Drosophila melanogaster: one gene and its partner. Changing the gene in region 1 together with any one later gene gives a genetic interaction. Each region holds a gene or a part of one and is shown in the gene's direction. Other genes may lie near its edges. The genes, in order: CG32576 and TBPH.

Evidence for each region.
Region 2: of CG32576 (region 1) and TBPH, changing one suppresses a phenotype caused by changing the other (phenotypic suppression), as found in Drosophila melanogaster (one study listed by BioGRID).

Annotation. Positions count from the first base shown.
Region 1 is NC_004354.4:16,285,341-16,290,516, reverse strand, and holds CG32576 (uncharacterized protein), read left to right. Parts: upstream 1-1,983; 5' UTR 1,984-2,109; coding exon 2,110-2,134; intron 2,135-2,200; coding exon 2,201-2,292; intron 2,293-2,380; coding exon 2,381-2,559; intron 2,560-3,277; coding exon 3,278-3,359; coding exon of another isoform or gene 3,360-3,368; exon of another isoform or gene 3,369-3,593; coding exon of another isoform or gene 3,594-3,841; exon of another isoform or gene 3,842-3,904; coding exon of another isoform or gene 3,905-3,952; exon of another isoform or gene 3,953-4,067; coding exon of another isoform or gene 4,068-4,107; exon of another isoform or gene 4,108-4,382; coding exon 4,383-4,427; 3' UTR 4,428-4,564; downstream 4,565-5,176. Other genes in the region: caz (cabeza), read right to left, coding at 1,195-1,291, 1,359-1,490, 1,560-1,566; UQCR-14 (Ubiquinol-cytochrome c reductase 14 kDa subunit), read right to left, coding at 3,594-3,841, 3,905-3,952, 4,068-4,107.
Region 2 is NT_033778.4:23,858,420-23,864,527, reverse strand, and holds TBPH (TAR DNA-binding protein-43 homolog), read left to right. Parts: upstream 1-1,934; 5' UTR 1,935-3,081; coding exon 3,082-3,322; intron 3,323-3,384; coding exon 3,385-3,695; intron 3,696-3,752; coding exon 3,753-3,957; intron 3,958-4,012; coding exon 4,013-4,641; intron 4,642-4,700; coding exon 4,701-4,838; intron 4,839-4,910; coding exon 4,911-4,982; 3' UTR 4,983-5,461; downstream 5,462-6,108. Other genes in the region: Cpes (ceramide phosphoethanolamine synthase), read left to right, coding at 180-1,358; bgcn (benign gonial cell neoplasm), read left to right, coding at 5,829-6,108.

The DNA of each region.
Region 1 (5,176 bases):
AGTAGTTGTTAAAATCACAAACAAAAAAAATACCTTAAAAACGGTCAATGAGATTGAAACTATATAAAACAAATTGCTTAAAACTATCTTACATTTAGATTGTTAGAGGTAAGCTCTCTCTTAGGCGCAAAATCATTGCTTTCTTATGTGTATAAACATATGTAATAACCTTAATAGCTAATAATTAAAATTTGTTATTATTTTTGTATACGTAAATACCTTAAGATGATTAGAGTCTCAGAACCATACCAATTCCTCCGAACTGTGCATTAATAATATATCGAATTTTTTTATTGTTTATTGTTTTTGTCTCGAGCCACAATTTATTTAATTTTATGATTGCTGGTTGATATTTTTTATATTCTTTTTAGCTTTATATCTTCGATTACACTTGTGTCATGTTTGATCTGGTTTTCATAACCATCCTGTTGGGAACACACACATTTTTTGAATGTTCATTTTGGAACATGTTTATGCTAGCATTGTATCGTATTAAGGCAGGAATGGATGATATAGTGTATGGTTTAAAACGATAATAATAACATGTGCGCGATTCTCTATGCAATTATCACAAATTCATCATAGATTTCATTAGGCGACCATTATTATTCCGATTGCAACGACTGTGGTATTACTTATTATTACTTATTCAGTATAACCAGTATTATTTATGCATTGCAGATATTTGTTTCCCCAGGGCATCATCTGTTTTTTTTTTTACCATTATACTCATTTGACTCGTCAAAACCATTTTGAAATACCATTTTCTAATATTTTTACACAGATTTTCGATGAAAAAAAAACAAACGTACATGAAATACAGTCATGCGGATAAATAATAATTTGCCAAATTGGGAGATACGTTTTTTTTTGTTGTTATAATTTTATGTTTTCTGCGTTTTTAAGCAGTCGGAACAAGTCGTAGTTGCAGGAATAGCTTCAAGCAGTTTCACACTCTGATGCAGCACAGTGCATCTCTTGCATTTCAATAATATCTTTAAAATACGCTTCATGTTTCAAGGAGTGGCTCGGTGTCTTTTCTCATTGGTTTGGCTGGATTGATTTGTAAATATTTATATATGCGTACACTTCTCTTATAACACTTAAAAAACCTCCGTGAAAGACTACTACCCATGATCTAAATAGCCTCGCTGTAACTCAACAGCAGCGAAATACTAAAAGTGGATAACATACCCGTAGGAATTGCCTCCTCTGTCGTTCCATGATCCGCCGCCGCCGCCACCGTTGCCGCTGCCACCAGAACCACGATGACCGGAACCGGAATCATAACCTTAAAAACATAAGTTTGTGAGTATTGGTGTGTTGCTCGCAACACAAAGTTCGCATGCACGCCTTACCACCGCCTTGTTTGCCGTAGTTCGGAGGTGGCTCGTTGTAGTTACCCGTTTTATTTGGCATTTGCTGGTAATTTGGTGGGGGGACAGCGAAATTATTATATCCCTGTCCCGAACCACCACCATAACCGCCACCTAGAGTGCACATATTTCATCGTTTTCAATTCACGTTGCGACTTATGCGCGTGTTAAAATTATACTTACGTTCCATGTTTAATAAACGTTGCGTGAAGTCTTTTTTTAATCAATAGAATTGCAGGAGTTTCAATAACTCGCTGCGTACAAATTGCTCGAATTGAAGAAAGCGTCAGATCGTCACAAATTCTATTGTAAAATGGCGTGTGAAAATTAATTAGGGATGTGCGTCGAAGGGGGCTGGTATGTGTGGGTCTTGTAGCGCCTATCGAAATATCTATCTATATATCATTGAAATGTGTGGGAATGGAACACAAATATGCCGAATATTATATTTGTGGGAAAATACGTATTAAATGGTAAAAATAGTTTTATTTAATACATTTTATCATTTATTTGCATCCAAATGGACTGAATCCAAGAGGTTTTAAATAATTAATCGGCAGCTTGATCGCTTTACAACACTAAAGCGCTTGCATCCCTGCAAACATTGTTTACAGTCGTTAGCACGTAACTTTGAATGAAAGTCGAAATCAGCTGTTTGTGCTTTGAAATTGAATTGGTGTTTACGTGGATTTAATTTTTTCTGAAATCAAATTAAAGCAGAGCCAAATACAAAATGATTGAAATATCAGATTTGCAGAGTAAGTAGCCATTAATATGCGAAAGCCATCAGCGCAACTAAACCGCCTATTGAAATCTTCCCGCAGAAATTGGCATCGGCTTGGCTGGTTTTGGCATTTTCTTTTTGTTTCTCGGCATGCTGCTGCTGTTCGATAAAGGACTGCTCGCCATTGGCAATGTACGTTACCCACATGCACATGCACCATATGCCCCATATAGCACACCCTTCGAGCTCTATAATAATAGCAATCGCCTCTTTCCCGCAGATTCTATTCATATCGGGCCTGGCCTGCGTCATTGGCGTGGAGCGCACGATGCGCTTTTTCTTCCAACGGCACAAAGTCAAAGGCACAACGGCCTTCTTAGGGGGAATCGTCATCGTCCTGCTGGGATTCCCCATCTTCGGCATGATTATTGAATCCTATGGATTTTTCGCACTCTTCAGGTTCGTAGCACCCTGGCCAAGTCCCAGTCGGATTCGTTTAAGACCATTTGAGCGGGGCTAACCGGTTACGCACTCCACATGGTCTTTTCGCTTTCCCGCTCTTAATACACCATTCGCAAGTCAGGGCTTGGCAGTCAAAGTTGCTGTCAGATGACATCCTTTAGAAATATTTTATATTTTAATTGAAAGACTGCAAGTCATGTAGATGGGACAATTTGACGCTGTGGCATTAACAGCAAATACCAAGTATAATTCTTCAGATTCGCTTACAAAAAAAGCTCGATCAGATTTTATAGCATTTGATCAGAGCTAAAGAAAGCAAAAAGTATGTCCTTCATTATAACTATTCGCTGTTTCTGTCTGTTTTGTTCTGTTCTGTCCTTTTATACATTTTTTCCTATCTATACCTCTCTCCTTTTACCTTTTCAATTGCATGCTTCTTCATAAGTTACGACCAAAGGTGCAACTTAATAATTACCCTAATATATGTAGGTCTTTTTATTCATTAAAATATCTTTTAACGAACGTTAAAAGGTCTGCTTCATATATATCGGATTAATGAATGGAAATCTATTCAAAGTAGGGAAAATATTCAGTGAATATAAGAATTTAACTTAACTTCGAAACGTGCAAGATGGCAATACAAGTGGAAGTAACTTCTTTTAGTGATTTGTCGTTTACTTATTACTTATTAATGTCCTTCTCTTTATATTTTCAGCGGCTTCTTCCCCGTGGCCATTAATTTCCTAGGCCGAGTGCCTGTTTTAGGATCGCTGTTTAATTTACCATTTATACAAAAGGTAAGGTAGCATGGAGCCTCACAAAAAATAAAAAATATAACATAGCAAATAGCCCATACTCATGATCACTTAACGCGCTCATCTCGCCTTGACGCGAAAGCCCATTGAAATAAACTGAAGGGTCCACATTCCCAAACGACCACGCAGACTCGATTTCATAGCCAATTTTGGTATTTATCTAAGCTATGTATTTCAACATTTACAAGTCCAAAGTAGAGGGATTTAGTGGCGCGTTTAGTGGATCTTTTCCCAGTCCTCACGCTCCTCGCGCTCCTTCACGACCTCCTTGAGGTAGGGTTCCAGATACTTGACGTCCTCCTCGTACTTGGTCCACTGCTCCTTGGGCAGAATGGTCTTGGTCATGGACAGATGGAGGGCCCTCATGATGCGGTAGTTACGCTCATCGTACAGCTTCCTGGGCAATCGGCGCACGGCCTCCTTCACATCCTCGTTCTCATACAGACAATCATCGCGATGCAGACCTGCAAAAATCGATGGCATCAAGCTCAGCTGTTAGGAATCACTAGGTTATATAGTAGTCCTACCGTATTGGTTGAATCCGGAGAGATTGTAGGCCCATCTGCCCAGATTTGCTGTGGGGAAAAATTCGCATTACATATTTACGTAATCATAATATTCCGGCGTACTGCACTACGAAATTTGTTGCATGCAACGTGAGTCCGATTGTTGCCCGTTCGTATTACTTACAGAGAACTGCGGGTCCCTTTCTGGCAATATAGTTCGACATGGTTTACGTAAAATCAGAAGTCGGGAAAGAGATATTCCTCCAGCCTTTTTATTTTAGGTATGAGAACGTTGGAGATGGGTCTCTCGATAGCTATCGCACCCCGTTATCGATCAACGAGCACTACGGTTGCGTTTGTACAAATCGATTTCCGAAATGTAATACAGACACACTGCACCTATCGATATATCGCACTCAAGAAAATTCGTTATTCTTTAGTTTTAGAGCTATTAAATATATTATCTTTTAACATTTTACCCTTTTGTATTTGTATTTAGATTGTTCAAAAACTTGGTGGAGACGGCAACCGAACTACAGTATAATTACATCTCCAAAGTTGGTCATTTTGCAATAACTTTTTGTATAAAGTAAATAAAATCAATTCAAATTCTTGTAAACCCATTTAAGCCCATGTAAAAATCCGCCTTCATAAACAAAATACTTGTAGTTTATCAAACCGAATGATTGTGGCTTTCTCCTTTTGTAATTTGTTATGGGAAACACTCAAAAAAGGTTTTTAATTTGGGTTAAGTTATAATTTATGTTAACCAATAACCTCGATTAAATTAATTATAAAAATGATGCCTGAAGATATACAACTTTCACTTAACTTGCAACACGGGTATTGTATATTAAACAGCAAACAAAAAAGGCAAAAATGTTGGTAATTAGCGGAGTGCTTCGACAAGCGGAAATCCCTACTTCTCATTTAAATAATATTTCCCCAATTTTTTGCGATAAGCCCCCGCCAACGGTAAACCCTTCATTAAAATGATTGATAGCGTTTTTATTTTAAAGTACATACCTTCGCTTTATTATGACTACAAAATATCAATTTATACAAATTAAAGAACATATACAAATTCTTTATATATACAGTGCCCTCCCTTAAGAGTGAACACTCGAATATGTGAACTTTTTAGTAAAAGTGAACGATTAATTTATGAAATTTTAGAAACTTTCGCTTAACTTAGTAAAAAAATTAAATTTTTTCAAACGTGGTGTTTTTGAAAAATATATTAAATTGTTTATTTTTTCTGTGATTCGTTATAGTGAACAAATTCGATTCAGT
Region 2 (6,108 bases), on another chromosome or scaffold:
GGGATTTCAAAACCCTGCATGTTGCTTGCCAAACTTTTTATGCCGTGCGCGGCTTATCTTGACAACTACTTCGCTTCGATAAACCATATTGATCAGCTTCACTTCTTTCCGCCCCACAGCTGCGCCCTGAAATCAGCCCGATAAGAACTTAGTGTTAAGCGCTACCTCAAAGTGTCACCATGATCGGACCCAGTTCGCAGATCAGCAAGATCCTGCTCACCCTGCTGTTCCTGCTGATCATCTTCTACGTTTTCATGGACGTGGAGCTCTACCTGCGCATCCACAACTATGCCATCGAGAGGAACTATCACACGAATGTCTCGCTGCCCGCCTCCGTCGTGGGTCCGTCCACCTCGGAGTCCGGGTCCGGCAGCATCGGTGGTAGCAGCAGCAGCAGCAGCAGCAGTAGCAGCAGCACCAGTACGAAACTACCCACCGCCGGCGACCGGCAGCCGTCCTACGAGGACCACACCTGGATATCCTGTGATATAAATCCGCTTTGCCATGTGACCGTGAAGGCCATTCTGTTGGACCACACCAACCACTACCTGTTCGCCCCGCTGGCCACCATGTTCGACAACGTGATCGGCTTCTCGCGCTCCACCTTCATCACGCCCAACATGATATCGTTTTTCCATGTGGGCGTGGCCTGTCTGGCGGGCAAACTGGTGGCCTCGGACAGCCTGGGCTATCGGCGGCTGGGCGTGCTGCTCTTCCAGATCCGCACCTTCCTGGACGACCTGGACGGGCATGTGGCGCGCGTGCGCAAGCACATACGCGGCGAGCGCTCGGAGATCGGCACCTCCGGCTACTATGTGGACGGCCTGTGCGACGGACTCGGCTGCATTGCGCTGCTGCTGGGCATATTCTTTTACCTGAAGAACAATCCACCGCGGAGGGGCTACTCGATCATACCCATGAGCGACTCCAAGCTGCCGGAGCCCACCATGATGATACCGAAGATGAAGGCCACCACGCGCAAGGTGGCCAAGAACGTGATCAGCTTCACGGGCCAGCTGCTGCTGAGCTCGACGGCGTGGAATCGCTACATTGCCGTCTACCAGAACATGCTGGAGCGCGAGGACGTGAGCGGCAACCAGTCGCATTGCCAGGATTACGTGTTCAAGTCGACCTGGTTCTTCTGCGTCGCCTGGATGTGGCGCATCGTCAACGTGCACGCCCTGCTGCACTGCGTCCTGCTGAGCATCTTCTGCGACAAGCTGTGGGACTTCCTGCGCGCGATCCGGTACAGCGGTTACATTATCCTGTTAGTTGCTATATGTTTAACTGAAATGCACATTCTGGAGGCCCAGAACTACATTTTCAACTCTACGGCGTGCAGTAATATTTCACTGTGATTTTACTAATATTACGAGAAAATACAATAATATTTGTGTAGTGCAAATCAGCGATGCCTTTTTTAATTGTGTATAAATAATAATGTATCATAATTGTTAGCCAATCATTAATATTTCGAAACCAACTAATGCATTTTGTCATTCAAGCGCGGTCTGCAAGAGCAATCGAAACTCCTTCAGCTGTAAATAATAAATGTTATTGATTAATAAAGTCTAGCTGTTTTTATCGTACGCATTTCCATGGCGAGCTAATTTCGTTTGAATTTATTTATAATGTTTTGTGTTTCGAAATTTCAAATGAACACGATGCGCAATGCTGCCAAGTTTTTTTTTGGTATAGCTGATGGGCAGCACTGCAAGGTTTGGTATTTTATTCGACAGTACCAAATGCCAATATAATTGCCATATTGTAATGTAATATATTGCTTAGATATTCATAGTGGCAATCAACGCTCATATAGTTTAATAAAGAGGCTATTAAAATTTATGTGACAATGCACTGTTTTAACTAAAAATAATACACTTTTAGTATATCTACCCGCCGGCTGGTATTTCTCACTAGCCCTGTTCGGCCACACTGCGCATACGTCAGGCGATACATACAAAGGAAAAGAAAATCAAAACGGAAAGCGAGAAGAAATGCTTCACTCGTCGTTTGAAAATTTGTTAAGCTGTCAATTGTAAATATTACCTGATTCCTATTTCGCACCGATTGAAAGTGGTTGTGCATCGAAGCGTGTGTTGTGTCAAGAACCGAGCGTGGAACGTACAGTGAATACCTGATTTTGCCTGGGTGTGAATCGAATTCGTGTGAGAGAGCGTGCGATCTGAGATCTGGGATCAGAAATCTATATCTACTTGCCATACGCAGTCAGAAATTACAGCAACCAACTAATCCCTGTCAATAGTGTAAGAATTGTTGTGTAACCAACCATCTTTTAGGACCGCCAAACTGCCTCCGTCTACACATTATGTCCTCCCCTCGACGATTGCGTTTGTGTGCGTGTGTGTGTGTGCCACACACTTGCACTCACACACAGACGACAGGATTGGATATTTTCAATTTATGTGGCTTTCATTCATTGATTTTCCAATTCCTGCCGCGATTCCACACTCACAAACGTCAGTTTACTCGTATTAAGTGGGTGAAATATCTGTTTTCTTGAGTAGTTCAAAACATATACATATGTATGCCATACATCGTAAACTTGGGATTGGGTATTCTTCTTTTGTTTATTAACTAAATGTACGTAGAATAGGCATTTAGCCGATGGTGGGACATAAGTAGCGTCTGATTCAGAGAATTTTTAACTAATAATAACGTAAAGAAACGCCTAAACATGAACACTAATAATATATGAATATGTTTGTAATACTTACTAAAATTATATCATCGAAATTACAAGAGATAGAAACATTGTTTATTTGTCGTTTTTAGTAGATTGACCTAGTGTAGGATCCTTTTTGTTTTGGCTTGGTCCCACGAGCAATGTGTGTATAGAGTGGTTCGGGGCAACCTTTTTGTGTTGAATATTGTACCTTGGGATGCATCTGAATAGAACGGATGAACTGAGTGAGTGCATTCATGAATGCAGCGATGCAGAATATGTGGGATGCTTCCGTTGACTGAATGACATGGTGGATCATTTCTAGAGCGAAGTGTGAGCCCCTGCGGCGATAGAGTTCTTTAATCCCCTCCTCGTTTCTAGCAGCCTTCTAGGAAATGGATTTCGTTCAAGTGTCGGAGGAGGAGGGCGACGAGCCCATCGAGCTGCCGGCTGAGGAGGATGGCACTCTGCTTCTGTCCACACTGCAAGCTCAGTTCCCTGGATCCTGCGGTCTGAAGTACCGCAACCTGGACACGAAGGCTGTGCGCGGAGTTCGCTCCAACGAGGGCAGACTGTTTCCGCCCAGCGTGGAGTCCGGCTGGGGCGAGTACGCTTACTTTTGCGTCTTTCCCAAGGGTAAATTCGAGTTGTATGACTCCCTGTTGAACCTTAAATAATTCTGTAATCCCCCCCTGCAGAGAACAAGCGCAAGAGCGACGATAACTTGGAGAACTCAACTGCCAAGACCAAACGCATCGAGACCCGTCTGCGCTGCACTGATCTCATCGTGCTCGGCTTGCCGTGGAAGACCACAGAGGAGAGCTTGCGTGAGTACTTCGAGACCTACGGCGAGGTGCTGATGGCCCAGATCAAGAAGGACACCAAGTCGGGCCAGTCCAAGGGCTTCGGTTTCGTGCGCTTCGGCTCTTACGATGCCCAGATGCGCGTGCTCACCAATCGCCATCTGATCGACGGTCGCTGGTGCGAGGTTAAGGTGCCCAACTCGAAGGTAAGTCCTCTTGTTAGCCCTGCAATTTCACGCCTACTAATCCTTCTATTCTCATAGGGCATGGGCCACCAGGTGCCTTGCAAGGTGTTCGTGGGCCGCTGCACCGAGGACATTAACTCGGACGACTTGCGCGAGTATTTCTCCAAGTTTGGCGAAGTCACTGATGTGTTCATTCCCCGGCCCTTCAGGGCCTTTAGCTTTGTAACCTTCCTTGATCCCGACGTGGCACAGTCCCTGTGCGGAGAGGATCACATTATCAAGGGTGAGTCACTGCCGCGTGGAGAAGAATCAGGGAATTAATGAGACACTTTCCACAGGCGTTTCGGTCCATGTGTCGAATGCTGCTCCAAAGGCCGAGCAGAACAGAAACCAACAGGTCCAGAGCTACAACTACAACTCTGCCAACAGCTTTGGCATGCACTCATACCACCCACAGGGTAACCACATGAATCCGGGCCGCAACGGACACCACCGAGGTAATAACCAACACAATGCTCACGGCGGTGAGAACGCAATTGTGCCCAATAATCACAACATTGGCACCGCCGGCTACGGCATGGGTGGCAACAATTACGGCGGCAACTCGGGCGGGGGCTACCACAACAATGGCGGCAATCACTCCAGTGGCGGGAACACGAACCGCCAGGACGGCGGCAGCCAGTACAACAGTCGCCAGTCGAATTTTCACGGAATGAACCAGCCGCATAACGGCAACGTGGGCGGCAGCAACGGCTGGATGAACCGTGGCCACCTGGACATGCCCAACCTGCAGGCCCTGGGCATCAACTCGCAGGGATCGAGCTCCTCCAACCAGGGCCAAAACATGAGCAACCAGTCAATGCTCAATCTCAACTCATTGCCCATCAATCCCGCACTGGTCGCTGCCGCCTTGAACCAGTGGAGCCTGGTCGGCAACCAGCTGCAGAACCAAAACCAGGACCAACAGGCAAGCCTTCACACCTCAATCATTGTTTCAAACAAAAAACTCTCTCACTTGCTCCGCAGGGCGGCAATTTTCTATCTTGGATGGCTCAGAACGGGGGCCACAACAATGCCAACAACTTTGGTGGACGGAAGGGGCCGAATAACCCGAACAACAATCCGGCCGCCAACGGAATAAAGACCGACAACTCGGAGCCACAGGTTAGAGTCAAAACTGAAACCATCCCCTAAGAAACCTGGATCCCAGCCAGAATCTATTCTACTCTATTCCAGAATGGGAACACCGGTTGGTCGAACCAGAGCAGCGGATCTCAAAACGCCGCGGAGAAGTCAAACTTTCTTTAAGGCGGTGCCTGTCACCCAATGATGTGGTTAATGTGGTTAACCAACACCTCTGTAGCTTACTTAAATTTACATATATGTATTCCACATACAAACCAGTTAAGAATTGTATTTAATATGTAATAGATATTTTGATAATTGTAAACAAGATGACACTGGATGGCTAATAACACAATTGATAAAACACACTTCAAAATAAATTCTGCGCCAAAGCTCAGTAAAAATTGTATCATTGTATCACTTAAGTAGAATTTGATTTGTATTTTGTTGTTTATTAAATATATTTTGGCTTACGCTAAGAAAGTTTAGTTATAAAGATTGTGCACTTATAATGCTGGATCTGCGGAGAATTTCCAATATAACAAAGTTTTCTTTAAGATATCTAAACGAATTTGGCGCAGCCTCATTTTAGAGGAGAATTCATTTAACATGTACATTCATTTCAAAAAATAAAGAATGCAAAAGCATATTAGTACAAAGTGAATCATTTCATTTGAATGGAATCTATGGGATTGTGAATTGAATATTTTAATATATTCCTGTAAAGGAAACTCTCCCGTCTTGGAAACTTATCTCTTATTCTTTGAAAATAACAAAGTATGTTTTATAATTCAGTTTGTAATGACACCTGGATCTTTTTTTTTTACAAATTTCCACTACACATTTGTTTGAGTATATGCAAGGAATACCCTTAATGAGCAAGCTTTGCGCCAGCGAAAATACAGCCCTGTGTTCCATTCCGCCATTTTTCTATTTTCACGACGGTGGCAATAACGGAACTTGCAATTGCCGCGCGCATTGCGGCGCACTTCACTTAATTTAGTGTCAATCTGTTTGAAGCTAGCAGAAATGAACCACATCATCCAGGACAAGTACATTCCGCAACAGCTGCTCTACTTCTTGGCGGGACGGCGCTGCTGCCAGCAGTTCCCGTGCACATTCCGCACCAGCGAGCACGAAGCATTCGCCAACAACGCCCGCTCCTTGGGGCTGCGATCGCAGGTGGTCCATGTCAACGGGAATAGCTGCGTGAAGGTGTACAAGCAGGCATGTCGCCACTACCTGGAGGAGCCCAAGACGCTGGTTTTGTCCTCGGGCGCTACGCTGAACATGTTTACGCTGCTGAGCA